2 linked regions of the Styela clava genome follow. The protein of the gene in region 1 interacts with the protein of each later gene in a pairwise test. Links are inferred from orthologs where the notes say so. Each region holds a gene or a part of one and is shown on either strand. Other genes may lie near its edges.

Region 1 (12,769 bases):
AACGGGTCAATAATTGTCACAAGTGTCTATGATGGTCTGCGAACCAGGCACCACTAAGCAGAACTAAGAATTCAATCCACATACCAAACTATGTTAACAATTAAAGTAAAGGCTATTATACCTGTGTGAGCAAACATGCTCTTCCACTGTCACATATAGTTACTCGTGCAAGTTCTTTTAATAATGCTGGATACAGTTTACGATTATCAACTTTAGATCCAACACGTTTCCCAAATGGTAAATCTGATACCACAACATCGATTGAATTAGTCTTCAGTGGAAGACAAGTAACATCCCATTGTATGGTATCTGCTCTGAGGTTCATTCTTTGCAAAATAGGATGGTTATTATTGATAAGGACAATCAAATAAATAAGTTTATACAATGATAAAATCCAAAAGATGTCGACCGGAATCTATAATACACCAGTAATTGATGCATTTTCAACTAAAGAAAAGCAGGGTAAAATGCATGACTGCAGCGATGTTCTACCGTTACCAAGAACATTGAAATTCGTCACCATTACACTTGTTTCTGATTTTAATTTTTGTCAGAAATCCATATCACATAATAAAATGATAAAGTTTATATATAGTGATCCAAAAGATATAATTTGTAGAATACTGTACTTCCTTTTATCATGAATCTATGAAAGCCAGCATTTTCATCTCTTTTTAGACAAAGTCTACCTTATTTAACACTGGAGTATTTTTCAATTTTAAATCATAATCACCAACCTTTTGTCTTTTTCATGGTGTCCATCTACAAAATCTGGATTTTCGTTAATAAATTGTAAATTACAAGAACATCTTTCTGTGGCCGAACTAGTGTTGTCACCTAAAATTTAGAGCTGAGTTTATTATGCTGTTATTTTTTACATTGAACTAAATGACACAAAGCAATCAATACCTCCTATATGATAACTATTTGGCCATTCCAAAGCACCTTCAACTGGTATAGCACCTGAACCACACATTGGGTCGACAACCAATTCTCCCGTCTGTATATTACACATTCTAAGCATGCAATAAGCAGTTGTAGCACGTAGTGTGGTTGCACCAAAATGAGTAATATTCCTAAAAATAAAAAGAGATATCAATAACTATGTTTAATTAAGGTTAAAAGATCCCCATTTTAATAAAATTACTACGCTAAACAAGTGTCTTTTAACCTCCTCAGTCCTCACACTCTCAAAAACCTTGGTGAATATTTACATATTTCAAGATGTGCTGTACAACATTTCAATTGCTTATTTAGCTCAGCCTAATTGACATTTTTTAAACGAAAAATATTATAGGATGAAACTGGCATTTAAAATAACATTTTTAAATACAAGCAACAATAATGTCAACAACAGCAAATAAGAAGGCATTCGTGACTCAATCTTGAATGATGAAAAACGGGGGTGATCTATTTGTAGACAAAGCAAAATATGACTGCAGTTGAAACACAAAATAGAATTTATACCATTATCTATTTCATTTGTAATAATGTTGTTAAATATATGGCTTATTGACCAACTGAGATATTGTTTTAATAATAACCTTCTGTGCAAACTCTGAAGAGTCAATGCTACTGCAACTTCCAATGAACTCTCTCCTAGACATAGCATAATCTCCAAGTTGTAATTTGACAAATCAACCTGAAATGAACACACTTTGTAAATTTCAATCCATTTTGAAAATTTGATATTTATTAATAAATGATATTGACAGCATAAGAATATTTTTTTTTATGAAATGATTTGAAATTTAATGTGATCAAGGCTGTCGAACACGAGTGTGCAAACTGTGGCCCATGGGCCGAATGCGGTTCACAAGAAAAAATTGTAACAAGTTAGCAATTTGGTTTAATCTGGTACGTGCAAGTAATTTCAATCCCTTTACGTTGTAAAGCATATACCGTAACTGAGTCCAAATATTTTTTATCTATGCCTATGAAGTTACAATGCCCTAACTAGCTTGTGCGAAACAAACAATGCATGTCATGGGGCCAAAGTATTTTTGCTTGCAACTACTAGAAAGCCTATGTTAAACAAATGGGCAGCCCGTGGTTTTACACAGAAGTACTTTCTGCAACTTCGCGAGCTGCAGTTTATTTATCTGCTGAATCGAGTTTAGCGAACATGAGTAATTTTTTCGGCATTTCAAAGTAAAATCAGACAGAGATGACGGAAGAAGAGTTGACCATTTGCCTTTATTCTTAAGACCTACCTGTTTGCCTATAGCAAAACCAAAAGGATTGCTGCAAACTTGATAATGAACTTAACAGTCAAAAAGCTAGGCCGACGGTTAACGAATATGCCCCTACCTTACCTTAGTTAGTCCGCTTTAGGCCAACGGTGACACGATATTGAACGGTCAGTTGGGCGACAACTTCACGATCCCTAGATCGCCATGGTGACCCATTTAGACGTATTTTTGATTTATTTTTCACAGAACACTCGGAAGACGCTCGCGAAACACTAGTGTTCGGCGGAACACAGTTTGGGAAACGCTGCTGTAGAGTGTAGACAATCAGTCCAATCTTTTACAATATAATGTTAGAAAACAAAACCTCACCTGCCAATCTGTAATATCTTGAATCTCGCCTCCAAATCGATAAGATGCTTCGGGGGAAGTGACAGGTTGTTTTTTTCCAACTCTATTAGTTGTGACACGATATCGCACCAATGTTCCATCTGGGGCTATATTGGGTACAATAGGAGTCCCATTTTGACTTGTTCGTGGCTTTTTTGGTTCTTGAGGCTCAGTATCAGATGATGCTAAAATGTCATCTTTTGCTGGTTCCCTAGGAGAGTCATCCAATTTATCCCCGTTGCAATAGGAATTGCCTTTTGCCTGAGATTTTGGGTACTTTTTGTAAAGGTTTTCTTGTCTTGATTTACCTTTGCAGTACTGCTTATTGTAGCCCCAAAATTTTACAATATCAGACCAGTTGATTTCTCTTGCTAATTGTACAAGATCAGCATAAGATTCTTCTTTAGTTTCCTTGTAAATATAGTTTTCACATGTTTTTACAATCAAAAACATGCGATCAATCGACCTCAATTTATGAGCAAGTGCTAAAGAACTTCTGTTTGTTTTCCAATACACACGACCTTGCTTGACAATTACATCACTCTTATCCATATATGGAAATTTTTCTTGTATTTCATTTGCAGCCACTTTTTCAAGCCCTGTTGCCACAGATGCAGCAACAGTGACATTATTGTCTGGGTTAATATGGTTGGGATTCATACTTTAGGAAAAATAAGATGGGAGTGAGTATAAAGAGAAGGGGTAAAAGGGTGGTCGTTCATAACTATGCCTTATTTGTTGACCGTATCACCAGTAAAATGAGATACCATCTGCCCTTAACATAAAGTGGGTTTATTTCACAATTTCAGTTTATTGTTTATCAATTCGGTATTCAAATTGGCAATCCATATAACAAAATTATCAATGTGATTCATTTTTCACAGTTCTAGTTTTCTACTTTATTTGTTATAGTACTATCAGACTATGAAACATTATCCTAAGTTTCCCTCGTTATTTATTTGTTTTATCTGTTTTGCTGTGTTTGAATTAATTCTATATTTTCCACTTCCTTTCGGTTGTAAAACTTTTAATTTAAATTTGGCACCTTCTAAAGCTTACATAAGGCTTTGTTTGCCCTCCTGATTCTGTAATTATTTTGTTTTTATTGTTTGTTATGCGCTTGGTACGATATGTCCCTACTAAAATTGCTATATATGTTTGCTATGCCTATGCCCTACTAAAATGGCTATGTCCATCCTAAAACGGCTATGTTCATACTGAAATAGCAATGCCCATACTAAAGTAAAAAGGCTATGTCTCTGCTAAATCAGTAAATTGGCTATGTCCATACTAAAATGGAAATGTCTGCTAAACTGTCATAGTATTCACGTGTGTGTTGCGTGAACGTAAATTAATACGTCCGTTCCTGCTTGACTAAAGCCTTGCTTAGAGTGAAAACGTATAACGCCTTATTAATGAAGTGTGACACAATACCGGTACATGACCTATCGCAGGACACACGGTATAATAACAAGTCTTTCTGGTTTTAGGTGTATGGTCCCAACTACACCCATTGTGTAAACGTAGATTAATACGTCCGCTTCTGCTTGTCTAAAGCCTCGCTTAGAGCGAAAACATACAATGCCTCGTTACTTAAGTGTGGTACAATATAGTTGCATGAATGTAAATTAATGTGCTTACCCACGAAATCACAAGTTGCTCAGATGAGGATATCGTGAACGTTGGTCAAAATTGGTGTCTCGCTTGAGTTGCGTATTCATTTTAGCTCTGCGAAACGGTGAAGGTACGAGAGAGGTCGCCGGCGTTTGTTCCATACTCGCATGCGCCTTTACGGGTAATCGCTGTACTTTGACAAGCTTTTATTCAGTGATTGTGACGTTGCAGTGACGTACCGGTACCGTGCGTTTTACATGGCATAGTCATGGGGGTTAGAAATGACATAGGATAGGCCTATGCCTGTATGCAGAAATCGTTATGCTACTCCCACTAGAAATGCTTGTTGTACTAACTGACTAAACTACCTAGACCAGTAGACCCAGGTATGACCGTATGGATCAGAGACTGGATATTCTCTATAGTCCTGTACCGGTAGTCAGATAGTGGTGGTAGCATAAAAGTCATATTACAATATTGGAGATGTGATATTCTTGTAAAAGTATCGCTTTGTGTCCACGCAGATCCTAATTATTCACAACTTATAAACAGTAGGCCTCTAAATGAAGAAAATGTCGGAAGAAGATGAATATGACAGTTTTGATGATGAAAAATCACCAAAGAATAGTGAGGGGAGATCGAGCAGGCAAAGCAGAGGTCATGATGAAGACACGGATGACGCTAGTGAAACTGACCGAGCTAAATTTGAAGAAGAAGCTTTGGACCAGATATATAGGGACAAACTTGGTCAACTAAAAAAGCAACTAGCACAACTTGATTCTGGCACTTTGCAAGAATATTGTAAAAGATTGAAGAAACTGGAACAAGTTCACAAAGATAGACAAAGACAAGCTCATGCACATCAAGAATATTTATTGTATAAAGTTGAACAAGAATATGAACGAGAGAAAAAAGCTGCTATGAAAGACTTTGATGAAAAGAAGGTTGAATTAAAAGAAAACTTAATTGCAGAATTACAGGAGAAAAAGAAAATGATCGAATCTGAGCGTCATACAATGGAGCTCACAGGAGTTTGTCCTTCAATGGGAGATGCGAAAACACAAGTGAAACGTAATTTACGTCGACGAGCACATGACCCTGCCCCAGCAAATAATGATAAACGCCGAAAACCGAGTCCAACGCAACTAAATTTTGTACTTGATGATGAAGAAATTCTAGAAGATCTTAAAATCATTAACAAAGGCAAACCAGCAAAACTTTCTCATGAAATATCAGTGGAATCTCACAATACGAGTGGACAACCAGTAGAAGCTCGAATCGAGGGAGGAAAATTATTATATGATAAGAAATGGTATCACAGGGGGCAGCCAGTTTTTATTTATAATTACAAAGATAACACAAAGTTCAGTGGAGTTATTACAGTGATCGCTGACAGAGAAATTACAATTCGCAAAACATCAGGTGTGTCTGTACGGATATTTGCTTCACAGCTTCATAGAGGAAAGTATGGAATAAAAAAGAGAATGACTCAATGACAGTGACATTGGCGCATTACCATATAATGTCATCAGTAAATGTGTTGTTACCACAGGATGTCACCGAAGGTGCACTGTTGTGAGAATGACAACCTTTTATTCCCCAAAATACGGGTCTTGTGGGAAGTCTGTATGCACTAATGCCTTATCCAGAGACTTGTTTAAGACGAAAGTATGTGGACATTGTGCTAATATTGTGATGTACTTAATAATATTACGGAGTATAAACAATTTTATGATTGTGAAATTTTGTTGTATTAGATCCATGAATTAGGCTATAAAAAAGTATGAGGTTTGATGTCTGATTTTAGCATCTCTTCTTCAGGGAGCAATTTTATTATTTTAAAATGTTTTGCTATGAAAGTTGTTTTGTGGAGCATCTGTCGTATATAACTGCAAACATAAATAGTTTCAAAGTGATATTATATTAGAATATTATTTAGATCAGGGGTGTCAAATCCTAATATGATGTTTTATGTTTATAAAGGCGCTCACATGGATAAAATACATAATGTTTCTTTTTGCTCTTGTCGCTGCATTGAATCTTTCGCTGTTTTGCTCAATGCATTTATTACTGTAAGGCTAAGCGAAAGCCGCAATCTCTCGTCTTGTCTTTACTGCTAAATTTCTTGTGTGACTCAACTAGATGTCTGATGTTGGTTATATGGCCCATTGATAAAAAATGTTACACACCCTTGATTCAGATATTTCATATTCATAATTATTTTTCATCCTGTGTTTGGGATGTGGATTATTCTGTTTCTGCCTATCCCTGTCATAGTGTGAAGTGAAAATAAACTGTTGAGTTATACCATTGCTTTATGATCAGTTTTAATAGAATAAGGTTCCGTTTGACAATTTGTTTTCACTTGCTGATGGATACTGCTGAATCGTCAGCAATCATATTTTTAATTGTATACCTAAGTTGACAGGAATAAGTTTCATATTCTTGTAATGTCTTGATCTAACAAATACCATATTATGACAACTGACGATGCTTAATTTTCAACCTTTCAACCGGTGGCTGCTTTAGCAGAATTTTGTTTATTTTTTGTACATATTTGTATAACATTCTATTCTTTTATTTAGCCTAAAGATTTTAAAAACCCTAATAAAACAAAATGTCATTTTGTAGACATTCTGAACCCGTTGCTCTTCAGCGTATTTGGAAAGCAATTGATGTTATTCGTGGCCAACGTCAAATTGCCAATCTTTCCCGAATATCTAAAGTTATACAAAGAGAGTACTCCTATACTCCAAAAGAAATTTTACATCATATTTTGAAGGCTGTGAAGGACAATATGGTTGTAGAAACGGTTTCAGTTGGTTGCAAAGGTTCCAAAGCTGGGATGGAACAAGAAGGTTATTGGATTCCAGAAGATTCTAAAGTTCACTGGTATGAACAAACTCATGATTGGTATTGTTTCATATGTCATAAACCTGGTAGACTCTTGAAATGCAAAGATTGTGTGAAAGCTTTTCATAAGGAATGTATGGAAAATTCAATAGAAGAAACCAAAAGTTGTAAATACTGTAGACGGAAAAATACTGCGTTATTGGATGTCAATCATACCAGAAAAAGTAAGGAAATATTTAACAAATGTTTGAGATTTATTGCTCACCGAGCAATGGAAAATTTTCCAGAGATATCGCATCATCCTGATGCGGAAGGTTATATGCATTATAATTACTTTATAAAGCAGCATATGAATTTATATGAACTGGAGAAGTTATGTAAAGAGAATAAATTTGAAGTTGCCTTGGATTTTCTTTGTTATGTAGAACTGATTGTTCATAATTGCATACTTCTGCTCGGTGAAAACCATGAATATTCAAAATCTGCCAAAAGTGTGTTGGAAACATGTATGCATGAAGTCAAGGAATTGTCTTTATGCTCTAACTGTTACTTTCTGTCCAGCACAAAACCAACAAAAGATTGGTTTAGCACTCCATGTCAGCCACCTCATAGAGTTGTTTGGGCCAAGCAAAAAGGATTTGAATATTGGCCTGCTAAGGTTATTCAAGTAAATAATGATCAAGTGGATGTTCGATTTTTTGGTGGTCATCATGAGAGAGCATGGGTTAAAGTTGATAGTATGAGAAGCATTGTTGTTAGTCCTTCAGAATTACAAATCAAGATAACTAAAAGTTGGAATAAAGCTAATGCTGAAATGAAAGAATACATCATACAGACTGAAAAAGTTTATGGGTCAAACTATGCTGCTCAAATTGTTTCTTTTGACTATGAATGTTCAAGCGAGGAATCCTCTGATAGAGGACAAGAACTTTCAAACATTGAGCTGCAGACAAAAGCAGCAAAGCGTAAGGCAAATCCGAAGGACTTTACGACAGAAAAACAAGGCAAAATTCGTTTAAAAATCTCAAAGTCTAGGCTTAAACCGGAGAGCATAACTGAATCTGAAAGCAATACTAGTGGAAGTTCTGCTGTGATAGGGATTATACAAACTACGCATGCAGATAGAAAAAAGCAGATCTTAGTGCTTGGTGAAAAGGCAAAACCGAATAGTGAATGTGCTCGTACTTGGCAATATGGAACTGACTGCATTGTTTTAATCAAAAAATATAATTTAAAGAAAAAATACTCTGGTCTTGCATACCCAAATATCCAAAGTTCTAGAAAAGCACACAAAGTGGAATCAGAAAAAAATCAATTGTCCAAGTCATTTAAATGCAACTGTCGTAAACGATATCAATTAGTGTTATCTCGATATAAAGCATCTGTGAGAAAAATGAGAACAGTAGAGCGAAAGCATTTGTTGATTTCAAGTGCATTGTACATTCGGCGATATTTAAAACAGCAATTCACTCGCGCACAAGATCTTGAAGAGGAAGTAGCTCGATTAAAATCAGAAAACAAATTGCTAAAATCAAGATTTCCTGAGAACGCTGAAAGTGCAGTAATGGACACGACAATATTAATTTAATTTTTCTTACATAACTTGGATCTGATTATCATTCACTATATTATTTGGATATCCTCAGTCATCAATTTGTTTCATATATATATTAAAAATTGGGCGCTCCAGGAGTATGTGTACTAGTACTGAAACCTATGGGCAGGGGCTATATTCACTTGGCTAACACAGACTGTCCCTATTCACTTGGCTAACACAGACTGTCCCTGAACTCCCTAATAGAACTAAAATGAGGAAAATCCTAATAAATTATGGCCTAACCCTATCCTGGTACACACATTTCGGGAGTACAGAAAATTGCATGCGTTAACGCCAACTGTGCATCTGTCAATGAATCTTTTTAATTTAACCTTATCATCATACTAAAAATTCATCTCTGTGTATGCCTTTAAAAATTTTAAGTATGAAAGTGAAAAATAAAAATGGCTGCTTCCATGTTTCATATAGCCTTGCATCGCAAGACTTGTCTTTTTATTCTCATCTATGTATTATGTTTTTATCTACACTGGTTACAAACCTGTATATCAATCACTGTTCAATAATTTGGAATGAAAATATTACATGAAAGAATTTTTTTTCAATCATGAATTATAATATTTCTCTTTCTACATGAATCTTGAGTTTAGCTTGGTGTTGTCTCTTTGTAATCATGCTTCCTACAAAAATCACATTTACTCAACATCACGATGCTCGCCAATACTGCTACTCCGCCAATACTGCTACTCCAATAACCTAAGTTGGTAAAAATGTTGCTGATATTTAGCCATATCAAATTAATTTCAATTCAATCAATTGGAAGGAATTTTTTTTCAATTTAAATACTGTAGTTATATCGGCTCTGCTAATGTTTTAATATAAAAATGAACAATTCAAAAAAGGTAACAATGTCACATTAGTTTTGACCAATTTTTTAGAATACTGGGTTCATAGCATAAATCATCAGATACCGGTACTCTCATTTTTGGACATATGGATAAAACTCCATTAATATCAAATATTTATAATTGAAATTCATCGAAACAATCCAGGTTATGCTGAATTCAAAAGTTGGTGGTATTGATAAAATGTCTACAATACAGAAAAACGCCCAAGATATGTCCTTGCCCGTTGCTGAGATTTTTATTCCATCTCGCAGATTGATAAATTCATCTCATTATTACATTGTTTGATCCAGATAGAAATAATTTTCTAAACTAAATTATATCATTTCCATTGGGAGTAAATTACGGTAATTTCAATTTTTCGTATCTCTTTACAAATCAATAACAGAAATTTGCAATCAAAGAATGTAATTGACCTACTTGTTTTCAGTATGGAGTTAAAATAATAAGAAATTTTCACTGTATTTGTGTTTATATCATCTGAACCTGTAGCATGAATTTTTTGTCTGCCATCTACAGGTAGTTTTTTGTTGGTGATTGCAAACTGTTTATGAGTAAGACTGTCCACATACCAGAAAATTTGTATGAAATTCAATAATTGAGTGCAAATGGGGTGTTGTATATTCAATTTTTTTCTGATGGATTTTTTTATTTTTTGATTTATTGTATACTTAGAAACACAAATCTGTTAACGCCTAATTTTCTTTTGTGTTTTTTGCATTGTGTCTTATTCTAATCATTGCTCAATTTTGTGTTCAATATTCCTTACTTTAGTAAAGCTTTAAAAACTAAGTTGTCTTTTCTTAATTTTTTTGGATACATAACACAAAGGACGAGACATAGATTCTATCGGTGAGTAAAGCAAATATATTGAGTCATTGCATGGATTTATACTGACGTTGTCTATTCCCTGAGTTTCCCACAGGCTCATAATCACGTAATTTTCTTGAAGTCCTGAATTCTCATGTTATTTAATCCATCAGACTGCTAGGAAATGTAACTTCAAATTGAATTATGAATAAAATTTATTATCACAGTGTTAAGGAAAGTAGTTGAATTCTTAAACTATAGCATGCAGTTTGAGTTGAGTTTTCAATGTTTTATTTAGAGTTCAAAAAATAGAGTAATAAAATCGAGATAACCAGAATATCCAAGAGAGATAATATGTTCTAAAGCTCCTGTAATAAATATTCTCTTTATCGCATTTTACAGCATCTTCACTTTGTAAATATGAGAATTGGAATTTGTTCAATCCTTCATGCATGTCTGCTGACTTCAACTTTATGTGAAACAATAAATTTTGATCCATATGAGGTTATGAGCTTAGATCATTCTGCGTCACAATTAGATGTGAGATCTAAGTACAAAAAACTTGTCAAAGAATGGCATCCTGATAAAAACAAATCACCAAATGCACAGGAGAAATTCATCAAGATACAACAAGCTTATGAGGTAGGCCTATATCGTTTACAGTATAGTGCCCAAGGTTTGACCATTTCATGTATATGAGATTCGTGGACTTTCAATAAATGTCCCAGGCGGGTTTGTGGGTCGGACCCTCAATTTGAGACTGAGAGTTTGGGGAAAATTAGTTATTATATCATAATAGTGCTGCTCATGTAATCGCTGCTCCTGTTTTAGGAGCTATTGCCTGTGAATTATTTCTTCTGTTTCTTGAACCCCCCCCCCCCCCCCCCCTTTTAAAAAAATGCCTATGCCCCTGATGTTGAATTAATATAAAAAACACAAATCTGAAGATTTCCTATACAATTTTACAACCTATTTTATGATAATTTGAAGAGCTTGAAGTGAATTGTCATGACATTCAAGTCTTTCTTTACAGATTTTATCAGATGAAAACAAGAGAGAACAATATGATACAGGTGGTTATACTGGTGACAATGTAGGACAATGGCATCACCAGAGCGAATCCTTCAACTTTCGTTATTCTGATTTCTCACATGACTTCTTCAGTTCTCAAGGTGAATAGTCAATGCCATAAAAAATAGGAAAATTGGTAGTTGTCTTATCGTTATTGTTTCAGTAAAATCTTATTTAAAACTGGAAAATCTTCCCCTTCCAGGATCTAGTCGAACTATTTCAATCCATGACTATTATACAAGAATTTTACCAGACAGTCATCATACACCTCATCTCATTTACGTTTACTCAACATTTTGTGCTCAATGTATATTATGGTTGAGAACAACTTGGCATAAAGCTGCATCTGATATTGAAAACCTTGGTGAGTTTTTATATTTGCATTTTTCTATTGTAAACCACATGCTGCCTTAACCTCAGTAAAATTTAATTATAGATATACTATGGTTTTTGGGCTGTGCTATACTCCCATGTCCCATTATATTTTTTCTTCAAACATTCTTAGTTCTATCTTAATAAGTTAAATTTAAAATAATGATGGTTGGTTCGATCGAATAGCAATGTATCATCTATTTATTCATTTCAGTAGAAATATTGGGCTTGAGAAAGCTCCAATATTTGAGTTTACGCTTATTAGATGCAAAGATGTAGTAAATAAACTGTATTGATTAAAGAGTTTTGTGATTAGTTTGGTGGTTGCCTCGTTGTGCCAAGAATGCCATCGCATTTCGGCTTACCCTCCGAATATTACACGGGGATAATTCTTTGCAATAGTATTGACAACGGATTCATGCTGGCAAGGTATGGCTGCATCTACAACCAAGTCCATGCATCTGAAACAAACAACCTTTTATCTATTCCCATACCCACCTTGATCTGGTAACCAGACGAGAGGCTGTGTTTCGCCATATGATTAGGTTGTCTTATCGGCTTTCCTCTTCCCTTGAATCCTATCCTAATATCCTCTTTCTATTAATAAACGTATCATTTATTTCCAGGTGTTGCTGTTTATACTGTTGATACAACATTTACATCTCGTATTGCTGTTAGTTTGGGAGTAACAAGAGTTCCAACAATTATAGGAATGTACAAAGAAAAAATTTATTATTTCAAAGGACAAATATCAAGAGAAGAATTGAAATTTTTTATTAATTCTTTTCTTCCATCAAATTTGGTTACTCCGGTAAATATCACTGGTTGATAATTGAACGTTGTTTATGTTTTAAATCTATTGCTTTTAAAAAATGACTATATTTTTTACTTTTATTGTAGTATTACCATTTTAGCTGGTATTAAAGAAGTCTTTGCCAATTATTTGTACTCTGTAGTAATGCCTTTCCAAGTGATTTTTTCTCATTTTATTAAACAACTAGTTATCAGTG
Region 2 (13,166 bases), on another chromosome or scaffold:
TTCCAGTTTGTTTTATGAGGTATTCACATTTTTGTTTCAAATAACACTTTGTCAGAGTGGCTGTTATACTTATATATATGAAACACACATGCTTAGATGGTAGACAAGGTCCAAGCTTCAATCGTTGTAGGCAATTTATTTCAAAATATTGTAACTAAAATATAAATTTTTGCAGACTGCTCGAAACTCACTTTTGAAGAATGATTTGCTGTCACCAGATGGGGTTTTGGCATGGAAACACATCTAGAGGGAATTTATGATTATGAAGATCTAAAAAAACATTTGAAACAGCCATTTAAACTAACAGACCAACATGTTTAACTCAATAGCTTGACAAAAATGTCTGGTAAATATTCAGCACAGGAATAGCACAAAGTATTGTAAGTAGATATTAATTTATTGGTATTTTTTATTGGATCTATCTCCTATTGAGCATTTAAATACTTGGAGCATGATTATTATTTCTGGAATTACCAACATTATTCAGGTCATCAATAACAGATGAACCATGGACTTTTTTCTTTCTAGGTTCTTCCTGCATCTGTGAATTTGAAGCAACTGCCAAGTATTGCAAACTTCAGAATACCTTTCTTGGCATATGCAGAAGCATTACAAACGTGGCCTATCTTAAAAACGGAAATCTACTCCCTCTGAAACATCTGGAGACAGAAGACTGCAGTGGATCAGCCAAAATTTCATAAATTATTTTACACACTGAAGTCTACAACAGGTGATTAGCAAAAATAAATGCTATACAGCTGCATGCAACTCATTAGGATAAAAAACAACAACATTTCATTGCTTCTCCAACGTATGAAAGTCTCCAAATATACCATATTAGACCAAACATCTGTCAGACCCCCCCCCCTCCGCTTAAATGTAAAATAAAAGTCTTCTATATTCATTTTCTATATCATACATATAAATTTTTCGTGGCTTGAAACACTTTTTAAAGTCAGACCATCTGGACTATTGAAAACCCACATTTGCCGGCTTCCGCTCAAACCTTCTAGGGGTTTTGGTCTAACTTTTCAACTAACCCTCCCTATGCCCATGACCTTAAATATTGAATAAACCACCAAAAGATTTTCAGTTTAAAAGATGCATATTTTCCAGGTTGCTGGGCTGAGAATCCATCGATGCTCCAGTTCACATATAATGAGAAATTCATTGAAAAGCATTGTGGCAATGTGCATGTGATAGAACCTAAAATTTACCCCCACTAAGAACCACTCCCAAAGCCTCAAAAAACATCAATGCCACTATTAACGTTAATGTATGTTTTGTTGTGAAATCTTTTCTTTCTGTCACTTTCGAAAGCGTAATTTTTTTTAACAATATGAGTTTTATGACTAGCTGAAATTCCTTCACTGTGATAAATTTTTCTGATAACATATCCTGCTATGTAATCTAAAATTTTGATTTCTTCGACTGTGAGATTGGTGGTTATTACGCTTTTAGATTTAGTATTATAATTATAGGCAGTGCTGCCATCGATATGAACCTCAAAATAAGGACAGGGAAACAAAGTAATAAGATAACAATGAATGAAATGTAATAAACAGAATGTAATCATGCAGTGCGACCCTTGTATAATCATTGATCTTATGAATAATCATATCTTATGAAGTTCCAGATCTAAACCAAATTCAAAGTTTAATTTACCGGTATATTCATTCATAAGGACACATGTCAAAATAAGAACGTTTGTTGAAAAAAAGGGCAAAAATGTTTTCTAAGACAAAGGCCTTCGAAATAAGGACGTTATGGCAGCCCTGATTATAGGTCAAATGGAGAAAAAAACTTCTGTAAAAGGTACAACACTTGAGATAAAGTGAGACCAAAACGCTATGCTGCTAAGTTTTTTTTTTTTTTATATAAATATAAGGTGCAAAGTATTCATTTTCGTCACCACCCTACCTACATCTGACTGACATTTTTTGCAATGCATCGCATTTTTGATGCCTTTCTTTCGACAAGACAGACTGTGTCTTCATTTTCACAGTTATTTGTTCATTTTTATCAAATTTTCCACGTCTCTCAGCAAATATTTCGATCAGTAATACACGAACAGGGGAGTTTGCGAGCTCTGATGCAGGAGCGTCGTCGTCGATAAGCACCTTGTCTGAACCTACCGACCGTGACGCCCGCCACTTGGAGGTGCAACATCGCCTTCGTTTGTTTATTATACGGCGAGCGGAGTTGGACATCTAGTAGTAGTATATATTTACGTCCAAACTGTACAATATACGTGTATTATTTTTACCTCTTGGTGACAGCACATTTGCACCCATAAATTTTAGCACCAGCATATGAGTATAAGTTTAATTTGATTCCCCCAGAAACAAACCACACGCAAAACAATGAACACACAAAAGTTTGGGGAAATCTTCAATAAAGTCTAAAATATGGACCCATGTACACTTGCACCCGTTGAAGTTCGCACTCAGATACATTTGCACCTACGTACATTTGTACCTATTCATATCCGCATTCATGAACATTTGCACCCATATCATTTTCACGCACACGCATTCTCCGTTCCATGAACATTTTTACCCGTGGATATTTGCACCTGCATACATTTGTACCCACTGTTATGTTCGCATGAATAGCATCCCTGGTCTACAGGCTAAGTTGGATCTAACGAAACATTACGATCACGATTCAAAAATGCCATAATATATTCAGCCCTGCCTAAATATTATGTATAGGTGTTGAAAATTTGAACCTTGCCAAAAATCCATGTATTATCTAATTCTAAACAGCGAAAAATAAATATTATCAAACCATAAATGCTACCTACATGACTGCTCAAACTTTCTGTCTATAGATTACACCTTTCTTCCAAGTCCTATTATTCGATCGCTTGAAATTAGTAAAAATTGGGCATTGTGATGCCACTGCTACCATTGCGAATGAAATTTGTCATACTATTCTTGAAGTGAGTCAATTACTTTCGCATACTTCAAAAGGTATTATGATCGTTCGTCGGCCAAGACGGCAACACGTCGTTCTGCAAGTTTATTTCTGAACTTAGCGGCGGAGGAACTTCCATTTGTTACGTAATAATTTGCGCTATCGGACATGCCCAGACTCGTATTTGGCGCATGCACTGTACTGTATTCTTCCAGTTTTGGAACAAACACACAACAGGCGCTGCGTGAAACTGGTTCAAGGCAATTTGTCGGAGTATGTTATTGAATTCACTCAACATCAGACAGGATCGACTACTAGAGATGGGGCGATGAACCGGTCGATCGCGATCAACGTGTTGGCCATCCCTCCTCTATTGCGATTCACTTTTATGTTATATTAACTAGGACTGGGAATGATTAGCCAATTTTAGATTGTTAGCGGTTACGATTTATTTAAACCGTTAACTGACATCTAAGGTAAAAGTCATTTTTATAATGTACAATTTTTCCAAAGATGATTACGTCATCGCAAATTTATCGTTTAATTCGAAAGAATATCACTAACTGCATGGTAAGGACCTAATAAATGTGAAAAATAATTGAAGTACCAAGATTGCTGATTATGAACATTTGACAATGATAAATTCAGAATCAGTTTTCGGTCGAAATATATTGTTCACCATTTTTTATTGCAAAATACTATATTCAATGTCATTCAACAAGTGCGCAGTCGATGCTGTGTTACTTCATGATATCTCAGAGTAGAATTTGCACGCCGAACACTGAAAATTTGTCACATGAATGACATTTAAAAACGGATTCGGGTTTAAGTAAAATATTTTCAAATGTCCGAAGCAGGTAGCATATCTCTTGCAGCAGAGCGATCATGATACTATCTTCATTCGTGAATAATTTTGAGCGATACCGGGATAAGATCACGCGAAGTTGCTTTGTAACCATTGTGAAGTAAAAGAGTAAAATTATCAGGTCAAACGTCACGCTGTGATTAACCGGTTGATTTTGCCTGGTTAACGGTTAAAGTGTTTCACCTGAAATTCCCAGTCCTAGTTATAAACCGACGTTTTTCGAAATACTATAAATCATCCTTCCTCCGAACGAACCAACCGAAATAGATTCATGAAATTGCGCACTTGTATAGCTTGGATATCTTCGAAAATGAACCAAGTCCGCGGAGAGCTTATTTATTTATGTATCACTATAACGAGACGAATAAACATACATACATACATATACATATCCCAGTATCGCTCAAAATTAATCACGGGTCTTTGATAGATAGTTATACTTAATATCTAGTTATGACTGCTTGGGCTTGTCCGAGGGGAAAGGTGCGAGTAAACGATGTATAAAAGAGAATGAATCGTATTAAAAAATGAGCACGGATAGATCAAGTGTTTAGGGCACTGTTTCCCAACCCGAGTCCGCGGTCTCAAATGAGTCCGCAGAGCGTTTGAATGAGTCCGCAACGAGTCAGAAATTCACTGCGGGCCGCAAACGTTTTTGCGAAACTTATCCATCAGCCAAGTTACGATTTACGTTAAAATGTACATAAAACATTAAAAGCAAGTTTATTCACATAACATTAATCGAGTCAATAACTACTGGATACTGAGTGGACATATATATATACTGTATTCGAAAATTCAACTATTAGAATAGCAATTTACTATTCGAAAATTTGGTCAGGTGAAGCGACAGGTCACTTGCGCGTCGCTTAATCAAACGATTGGATTTCACAACTCACTTGCGGATTCCCGACGAAAACACGAGTCGGCACACGCATGGATAGCTAAGTGGCGTTTCTCACGAGCTCGAGCAGCGAGGAATAATTTTTTTTCTGGTGTCAATGGTGGCAACCTAAATTTTTCAAATGAAAAAGCGGAAATACAAAAAATAAAACGTAAAACACCATAAGATTTGTTTTATGATGGTCCGCTACCGATTAAAATCGCTTTTTAGACATTGCAAATCGCAAAATTTCGGGTGCTACCGTATGTATCAGGGCATTTTCCCTTAGGATTCTTTGCTTTACTGCCTGCACATTGGTACGTACAGTACTGGAGCGCCGTAAGTGTTGTACGACCAGCTCAGATTTGTCGAATTCACAAAAATACGAATCAAAACAAAATATAATCGGGCACTTTACCACGCATTTTTGTGTCCACGGATTGTCATGGTATTTTCTGAGTAGTATTGCTTTTATTTCGTCAACACAATCACATATTATAATGATCACAATTAAATTAATATTAAACCAAGGCGATGAATAGTTTTTTTGATTTACTAATATGTTTTAATTACCTTTTTAATAAGTACTAAATCAACTTGTACTTTCTGGAAATTTAAAGCAGATAACAAATTCTCAAGATCGCAGAAAATATTTAACAAAACTAAATATAATCGGGCCATATATTCTCACATTAATTTGTTCGCTACTTTTCGTGGCATTTTAAAGAAGTAATGCTTTCATCTTGTCATAAGTCGACGCAACCGCGAGCCATGAACACAATTAAATTAAAATAGAAAGACATTTTAAATTCTCGTCGTTATCATGGATTGAATATTGTGCGATACAAAAGGCCATTTATACACTAAAGAGTCGGCTCTTTTGACAGACGCGTAATTGCGGCAAATTTCCGATTTTGAAATTCGTTAAAATTCTGTTGTGTTTGGTTTTATTACTTCACACAGGATACAATTGCAATAAACGCACGTTGAGTCTGCAAAGATTTTTAACGGTGAGAAAATAGTCCGCGACCAAAAAAGGTTGGGAAACGCTGGTTTAGGGTGTCGAGAGTCCATTTCGGAATAAAGGTCAATGCGTAAATAAATACTAATAAATCGCATGACTGATATAAAATTGATACTATCTCGTTCGATTATCCTTGTGGCAAGGGCCACAAGCGGATCCGAAGTGTGTAGGAATGTATACAAGGAGAAAGGACCTGCAGTACAATATCTTAAAACTCCCCGAAATAAAAATAGTTGTTATTATGGCATTCCTTTTTTCATTATTTTTCAATACTCTAGCAATTAGGTTTCGACTATGGACATGGTGAGAATAGCGCGTTTAAAAAGTAGAATTGTCCTGCTTACAAAGGAATTTTGCCACACAATTTGCGCTCACCACAGAGGTGGTTTGTTAATTGGCTGATTTAACAACATAAAGGCGAGAAATACGCAATTAAAGTTTTTTTCTATTCATTTTTCCCGGTTGTACTATTCTGGTTTCTTGTGATATATTATCATTTGCATATGTGACATAAGCTGCAATATCATAGCGTATTAGGTCATCGCTTATATCTGAAAAAAAAGAGAACCGCCCTCTGTTTTTACACGTTTGGAAGTTGTATACGTCAGAATTTACGCGAACTCGTAATGCGCATTTGTATCTGTCGCGTGTGTGTGTGTTCGTGCGCGTAATTATTACCTTATAAGGAAGATGCGCAATCCATATTCGGGTCAAGCCTACATTTGTTACGCCGGTGTCATTTCTCGCAGGCGTCGGTAGCGGCCGCATCAAGGTAGTAAAGTTTTAAGCTTTCGCAGTTTTATTCGTCACAACTAGACTTTGAATTCGCTTTCTCGTTTGAATAGAAGTTTATTTTATCGATAACTAAAATATGTCGTACTCGCTCGAAGGAGGAAGTCCATGGGGCTTTCGTCTTACCGGAGGAAAAGATTTCCGTACGGAATTGGTAATTTCTAAAATTACACCGGGAGGAAAAGCAGATCGTGCTGGTATAAAATGTGGCATGGCTTTATCGGAAATAAATAATCAACCTACCGCAAATATGACTCATATGGAAGCTCAAGGTCAAGTAAAAAACGCTGGGCATACACTAGTATTAATTGTCAAGAATAAAGATGATAGTGTTTCATATGCTACCAGCGGTGTTGAGAATTTGAATATTTCTTCACCACCAAAGCCATCCGTCCAAACAAGTGCAACTTATGTGAAACCAGTGCAAACTTCTGTACCTCAGCCTAATCGGTATCAACCAAGCAAACCAGCCCCCGCTCCTGATTTTCTTCCACCCCCACCAGCAGATGAGCCTCTTCCTCCGCCGCCACAAAGCATGCTCGGGCCTGGACCACAGATGAAGCAACAGTCTAACAAAGGGGATGAAAGTGATCCAATATGTGAAGGGTGTAGGAAGATTATTCTTGGTCCTTATCTGTCACATCAAGGCAAGAATTGGCACATTGATGAATTTGTATGCGCTGCGAGCAATTGTAGAAAACCACTTCAAAATATCGGCTTTATTGACGAAGGGGGAGAGAGATACTGCAAAGATTGCTATGAGAAGCATTTTGCTCACACATGTGGAAAATGTCACAAAAAAGTTGTCGGCGAAGTAATGCATGCTCTTGGCCAAACCTGGCATATGACATGCTTTGTATGTAAAGCATGTGGTCAAACCTTCAAAGATGGTGTATTTCAAATGCAAGGTGATCAACCATACTGTATTACTGACTACAATCGTCTGTTTAGCCAGGTATGCAAAGGGTGCAACTTTACCATCGAAGCTGGAGATAGTTATTTGGAAGCACTTAGTGCACAGTGGCATGATACGTGCTTCGAATGTGCTGTTTGCCATTGTGACCTTAAAACTGTAGGATTTTTTGCAGCTGGTGGAAAACCTGTTTGTAGCAATCACAGAAATGCCAGGGTTGCATGAACAACACAACATATAAGACTCATTTGATGTTATATTTTTTTGATATCGCCCAGCGTTGTTTTGTATGGTACATTGTCATCCTTTATGGGTGACTGGTAAAACCACATTCCCTGATTAGGATGAGATTATTTTTCCTGCTGCATTGTTTTCTATATCCTGAGATTCTAATTTACAGAAGTACACCAGATAACTGAAATACTATTGTAATTTAACATGAACATCAAGATCATTTTTCTTTCTCAATTGGAAGACTGATAATAATGCATCATGACTATTGTACTAAGCTAGTGTCAATTATAGAAAGTGCTCGTATAATTAATTAGCTCTTTTTGCTCTATTTAGTTTTGCTACAATATACATACAAAAAAATGGTGTCTCTCGATAAAAAATTTTGAAATTATTGTCAACAATCTAAATGCTATGTTTCCCGGAGTGGTTTAATTAAAAATTTATACGAAACAATATCTTGCCTTTGCAATTGGCTCTCAGGTTCAAAATAAGTTAACATGGAAATACACAATTGTAGCCCTCAGTTTTGATGCTTTTCATAGTAAAGCTTGCAGTGGCATTTTAGAATGTTAATATAATATTTACCTTTCATTATCTGTTTAAAATTCTGTTTGCTACCAGACGTATGCCCAGTATACAATCCATTGACTTTTATATGAATCACCAAATTACATTCAGATATTTGTAGCTTGTGAGTGTTGTGACTACAATCAGTGCTTTTATATTTTCTATTATGAATGGTTGCTTTTAACTTCTGTAAATGGATTTTTCATCTTATGTCAAAGAATTAAACAAATGTCCTCATTTGAATTTGTGCTGTCGGAATATCACAGCATTGATAAGACTAAATCATCATCGGTCGGAAATTTGTTGCTCTCAACGTATAACATAGCTTGAAATATTAAGATTTTCCATATTTTGTGTATTCATGTTATCATTTGTTACTGTAAGACTTATTTTTATTTACTTGCCTCCATTGCTGTAACCTTGTCAATTGTGATCTAAATCATTGTTATCAAATGTATGGTGGAAATTTTGTATATAATTTTGATTTTGCACTAGCATTTTTTTGTTTTATCCCAGTTGTATTATTAATAACCATTTTATCTACATGCGCATCAATAAAGTGCACTTTTAATATGATATATTACTGTACATATACATAATTCATTGTGATTATTGTCACTTATCAATGCTTGTAATAGGCTACATAGTATGAATTATTGGATTGATCTTTTACTTATCAAATAACTCTCTTTAATCGATCTCCGCTGCATTGATTATATCAAACCCTCTTGATCATATTAATTACATTCCAATCAAATATTTTTGCTCAATATAAATTGAAATGCTGTCCATTGTCTTGAAATATTTCTTATTCTGCTTTTATATTTTTCATCCAATTGTCTATAATTAACACAATCTGTAGCTTGGTATATACAGTGCTTTGTCTATTTTGCCATCAAAATATAATATATTGCTCATGTAAGTCAGGATATTACTGATAAAGTCAGATGGTGTTATCATATATTCAGGATACCATACTAAATTTCAAGTCCTGTTTAGCTGACTGGTGTTGCTCAAAACTTAGCCAATTCTCCTTTCCATGACTGACTGGAAAACACATCCCAGCTTTGATGAACTGGTTTATAACAGAAGCCTTGATTTAACAGTAAATTATCACTTTAATAAATGTTGCCCAATTCATAATAATTTTGAACTGGTTATGCTGGCCCTTTACTAACCCTGGCGTTTTCGGTGCTTTGTTAGTTTTAGGTTAAGGCAAACCGGATGACTATTTTGTAACAATTATATATATTAAGCCTAATGTTTTAATATGGTTTTGAATAAATATGGCAAACCTTTTATGCTGATATTATTAATTGCATTGTGTTTATTATGCTGACAACCTGTCAGGTTATGAGATGTTTACCAAAATGTAGCAAGCCAATAGAAGCTATTTTATTTACATTCAGTCGGGTTTGTTAAACGTCTAAAGCTTATTCGATTTGGTAATATTCATCGCCGTGAGCGTATTATACACAACAGGCAGTTCGCTCTATCGTTATGTATTAATCACTGTTCTTGCCCGAGGTGTGGAAACTCACACCCCCATGACAATAACACAATATTTAGCACTCGCTTTAGATTTAGAACGAATATGTTATCTCGTTTTAGAAATATTCACAGTTCCCCTTTATCTTAGATAATCTTGCAAGTAATTGTGGAAACGAAGACTAAATGCAGGGCGAAGGGTGTGATGATAGACTGCATGTTGCATAACGTGTTAGTTGAAAACATAAGTGCGAAAAAGGAAAATATACAAACATGGATAGACCCATTCACCCATGTCGAATTGTTCAGATTTCCTTCAACAAAATTCTTTCGTTGTCAATCGTTCCAGGTATAAACTCTTTTAGACTTTTACTATTTGTTTCCTCTAACCGAGTTATTATTACCGTGCCCTCGCAGAGACGTCGACACGTCCATCCCGCACCGCGACCTTAATTACCGGTACCCTTAATACTACTAAAAAGTGTATACGCTAAAACTGCAAACTGATCTGAGTTGCTCGCCAGTGTATTAGAATAATTAGATGCAACTGCGTAAATTTGCATACCTATGTCAAAATTTCAATTCTTCGAAATGTTTGCGTAACTTTTGGAGAAAGCAGTTAGGTACTTTTCCCCAATGGCCATTTCAATAACCTTAGGCTATTGATAGTTGCCATACGGATAACACGTTTGATTTTGTTGTTGGGTACTACTGCCCACAAAGTGCAATGCTTTATATATATAATGACCCGCTCTTTATTGGAAGTTTTCAAATGTCTGTATCCTAAATGAGAAAGAGTGTATAATAATGAATGTGTCGTGAATACTCGTGATCAGTGTTTTGTTATAAAATAATATACTCAGCGACTGTAGTTATATATATATATATATATATATTTACGGTTATATTGTCAAAGTACTGTATATATAAAATGATACAACCACAAGAGATAAAACAAAGGCAACAGACCAGTTCCCGTTTGTGCAATTACTCAGCGTCCTAGGTTAACGCCATGGTCATGCACATTCCAGATTGGGTGCGTCGATGAATTGAAGGTATCTTTTTGCACCCACCTGCAGTCGGGTTTACACAACTAGCAGGAGTAAAAAGTTGTCTAACGCAGTGGTTCCCAACCTTTCTACTCTGGCGGACCGGTTAAATTAAATAAAATGTACTCGCGGACCGGCAAAAATTGAAATGAGTGGAACAGGGAATAATAACATAATATATTTGCGTAATCGGGCAATCACTATGCTTTTAGAAAAAAAGGTACACTTAAAAACATTTCACATGAGGAAAAACGATCAAATAATGTTCCACCCATTATGAATAAAAAGGGCACACATAAAAAGATGTAGTACGGTACATGCTAAATCGTGTACAAACACAATTAACTCCAGTGAGAATTTTGCTACTTTTCCGTTTCCAATACAGGATTACAAACGAAGCATCAAAAAAGGTTTTGCAACACGTAGCTCTGCAGCGGCTCACAGTCAATTTATTTGCTTCGTTTTAATTTTAAGCTAGAAGTAACTGGTTGAATATTCGGACAACAGTTTGTTTGCTCGATTACTTAGCGATGGGTATTCGTTATCAAGAGATTTCGAAAATGAATTGTGACAATGATTCTTTTATAAATCTGGACTGTGGAGTAGTGGTTTTATCGGGCTCAAAATCCTGCTGTGCATCACCCGGAAAATATCTCATCGGCCCCCGCTTTTGTTGCACGTCTCGGGACCATGTGTAACAAGTTCCTATCTCGCTGGGTGTCATGGTGAAGCTCTGGAATATTATACTGTTCCTGACAGTTTTCTGGTTTAAAAAAAGAAATATTCATAACCTTTTTTGGTATGGTAATATTAATCAAGAAAAGCATGCAGAACGGAAAAAGCACGCATGCTGATTTTCAGGTTTCTGAATCTTGCGAGATTTGAAAGAGCGCGTTCGCGATGAATCGGAACCGAAAAGGCGAAAATTGAGACTACTCGCCGCCAAGACGTCGCCGGGCCATTATTACCGCACTTATCAAACACCAATATGACGGCGGAAGAAAAATTGCAAAATGAACCAACGTAACTTCGACTTATCAATCCGACTTATTAATCAAGAAAAGCATGCAGAACGAAAAAAAGCACGCATGCTGATTTGCAGGTTTTTGAATCTTGCAAGATTTGACGGCGCCAAGATGTCGCCGGTACCGCACATATCAAACAGCCATATGACGGCGGGGGAGAAATTGCGTAATAAACCAACTTCGCCTTCGGTAAAGCGATTGAGACGGTAGAAAAACAACAAAATAAAATTTCTCGCGGAGCGGCAAAAAAGCTTCGCGGATCTGTACCGGCGGTTGGGAACCAGTGGTATAACGGGCAGTGGCGTAGCATCCACCCCCGCAACCCCCGCGGTCGCGGGGGGCCCACAGCGAAAAGGGGCCCCAATGCGGTTAAAATTTAAGCTGCAAAACCAAAAGTTGCATTGCAAAAGCAGTAATGCACATCTTATAATGTTGATGTTAGTTCTGCCGTAAATATATAAATCGTTTTGTTACGTAACAATGCCGATGTCGTCGATTTTCGGCGTCGTGTGATTTGATCGCACCATCGCATCCACAACAAGAGAGCTATGCTCAAATATATGGACACGTAGAGTCACATAATTTTGATGACGTCATAGCGAAAAAAAAAGTAATAGCCTTCTGGAGAAAATTTTTATCTTTAACCACTAAAAATTTCAAAGCAATTGGTCCAGTATTCGAAGAGAAAAGCGACTTTTTAAAAACGTGTCAAGCGGTACTGAGTTAGCAGTCAGGCAGCATCTTACCTGTACACTGTAGGCCATATACGGTAATTGATCACAGAACAGTTGTTCCCTTGCAAATTTTATGTTGTTTACACTTTAGGACAGATAATTGATCACAGAACAATTCTTCCCTTTCAAATTTTATGTTGTTTCCAGTAGACTCTCATCAAAATAAACAAATATAGTAGGCTACAAGTGCTACAACGCTTGCATTACTGCACTGGTAGGACCGTGAAAGAATAAGTTACGGTAATTTCATTGTGGTAAGACACCGGTACCGGCACCAGTACCAGTATCGTACTTACGTACTGAGCTACCAGTACCGGTACCGAACCTGTAGGTCTGATATTCCGTTCCGCATACGATAGGCTATAAAACTTGCATTGCAGCATTAGTAATACCGCGGAAGGAATAAGTCAATTTCACTGCGTTACAGTACCGGTACGGCAACTTACCAGTACCGACCTACAGTAGCTGTAGTACTGAGCAAGACAATCGATCGCGAAACCGCTTGAAATAAGTGTAAAACAGTGTTCCCATGAGTAAAAATAAATACCGCGAAATTTTGTATGAAATATCATATCTCATAGGATTCATATAAAATTTAAGAATAAACAAAAGTAATAGCCTTCTAGCGAAAAAATTAATCTTTAACCACTGAAAATTTCAAAGCAATTGGTCC

What was found.
Region 2: the proteins of zinc finger MYND domain-containing protein 11-like (region 1) and PDZ and LIM domain protein 7-like interact in a two-hybrid assay, tested with the Homo sapiens proteins (2 studies listed by BioGRID). The link is inferred for Styela clava from reciprocal best matches to the Homo sapiens genes ZMYND11 and PDLIM7.

The regions. Positions count from the first base shown.
Region 1 is NC_135252.1:4,483,099-4,495,867, reverse strand, and holds zinc finger MYND domain-containing protein 11-like, read left to right. Parts: upstream 1-6,800; 5' UTR 6,801-6,810; coding exon 6,811-8,634; 3' UTR 8,635-10,298; downstream 10,299-12,769. Other genes in the region: tRNA (guanine(6)-N(2))-methyltransferase THUMP3-like, read right to left, coding at 122-326, 738-837, 910-1,076, 1,545-1,642, 2,562-3,239; sin3 histone deacetylase corepressor complex component SDS3-like, read left to right, coding at 4,757-5,689; dnaJ homolog subfamily C member 16-like, read left to right, coding at 10,737-10,958, 11,350-11,488, 11,590-11,751, 12,386-12,570. UniProt on the Homo sapiens protein: Chromatin reader that specifically recognizes and binds histone H3.3 trimethylated at 'Lys-36' (H3.3K36me3) and regulates RNA polymerase II elongation. Does not bind other histone H3 subtypes (H3.1 or H3.2).
Region 2 is NC_135261.1:7,126,871-7,140,036, forward strand, and holds PDZ and LIM domain protein 7-like, read left to right. Parts: upstream 1-6,403; 5' UTR 6,404-6,562; coding exon 6,563-7,621; 3' UTR 7,622-9,496; downstream 9,497-13,166. UniProt on the Homo sapiens protein: May function as a scaffold on which the coordinated assembly of proteins can occur. May play a role as an adapter that, via its PDZ domain, localizes LIM-binding proteins to actin filaments of both skeletal muscle and nonmuscle tissues.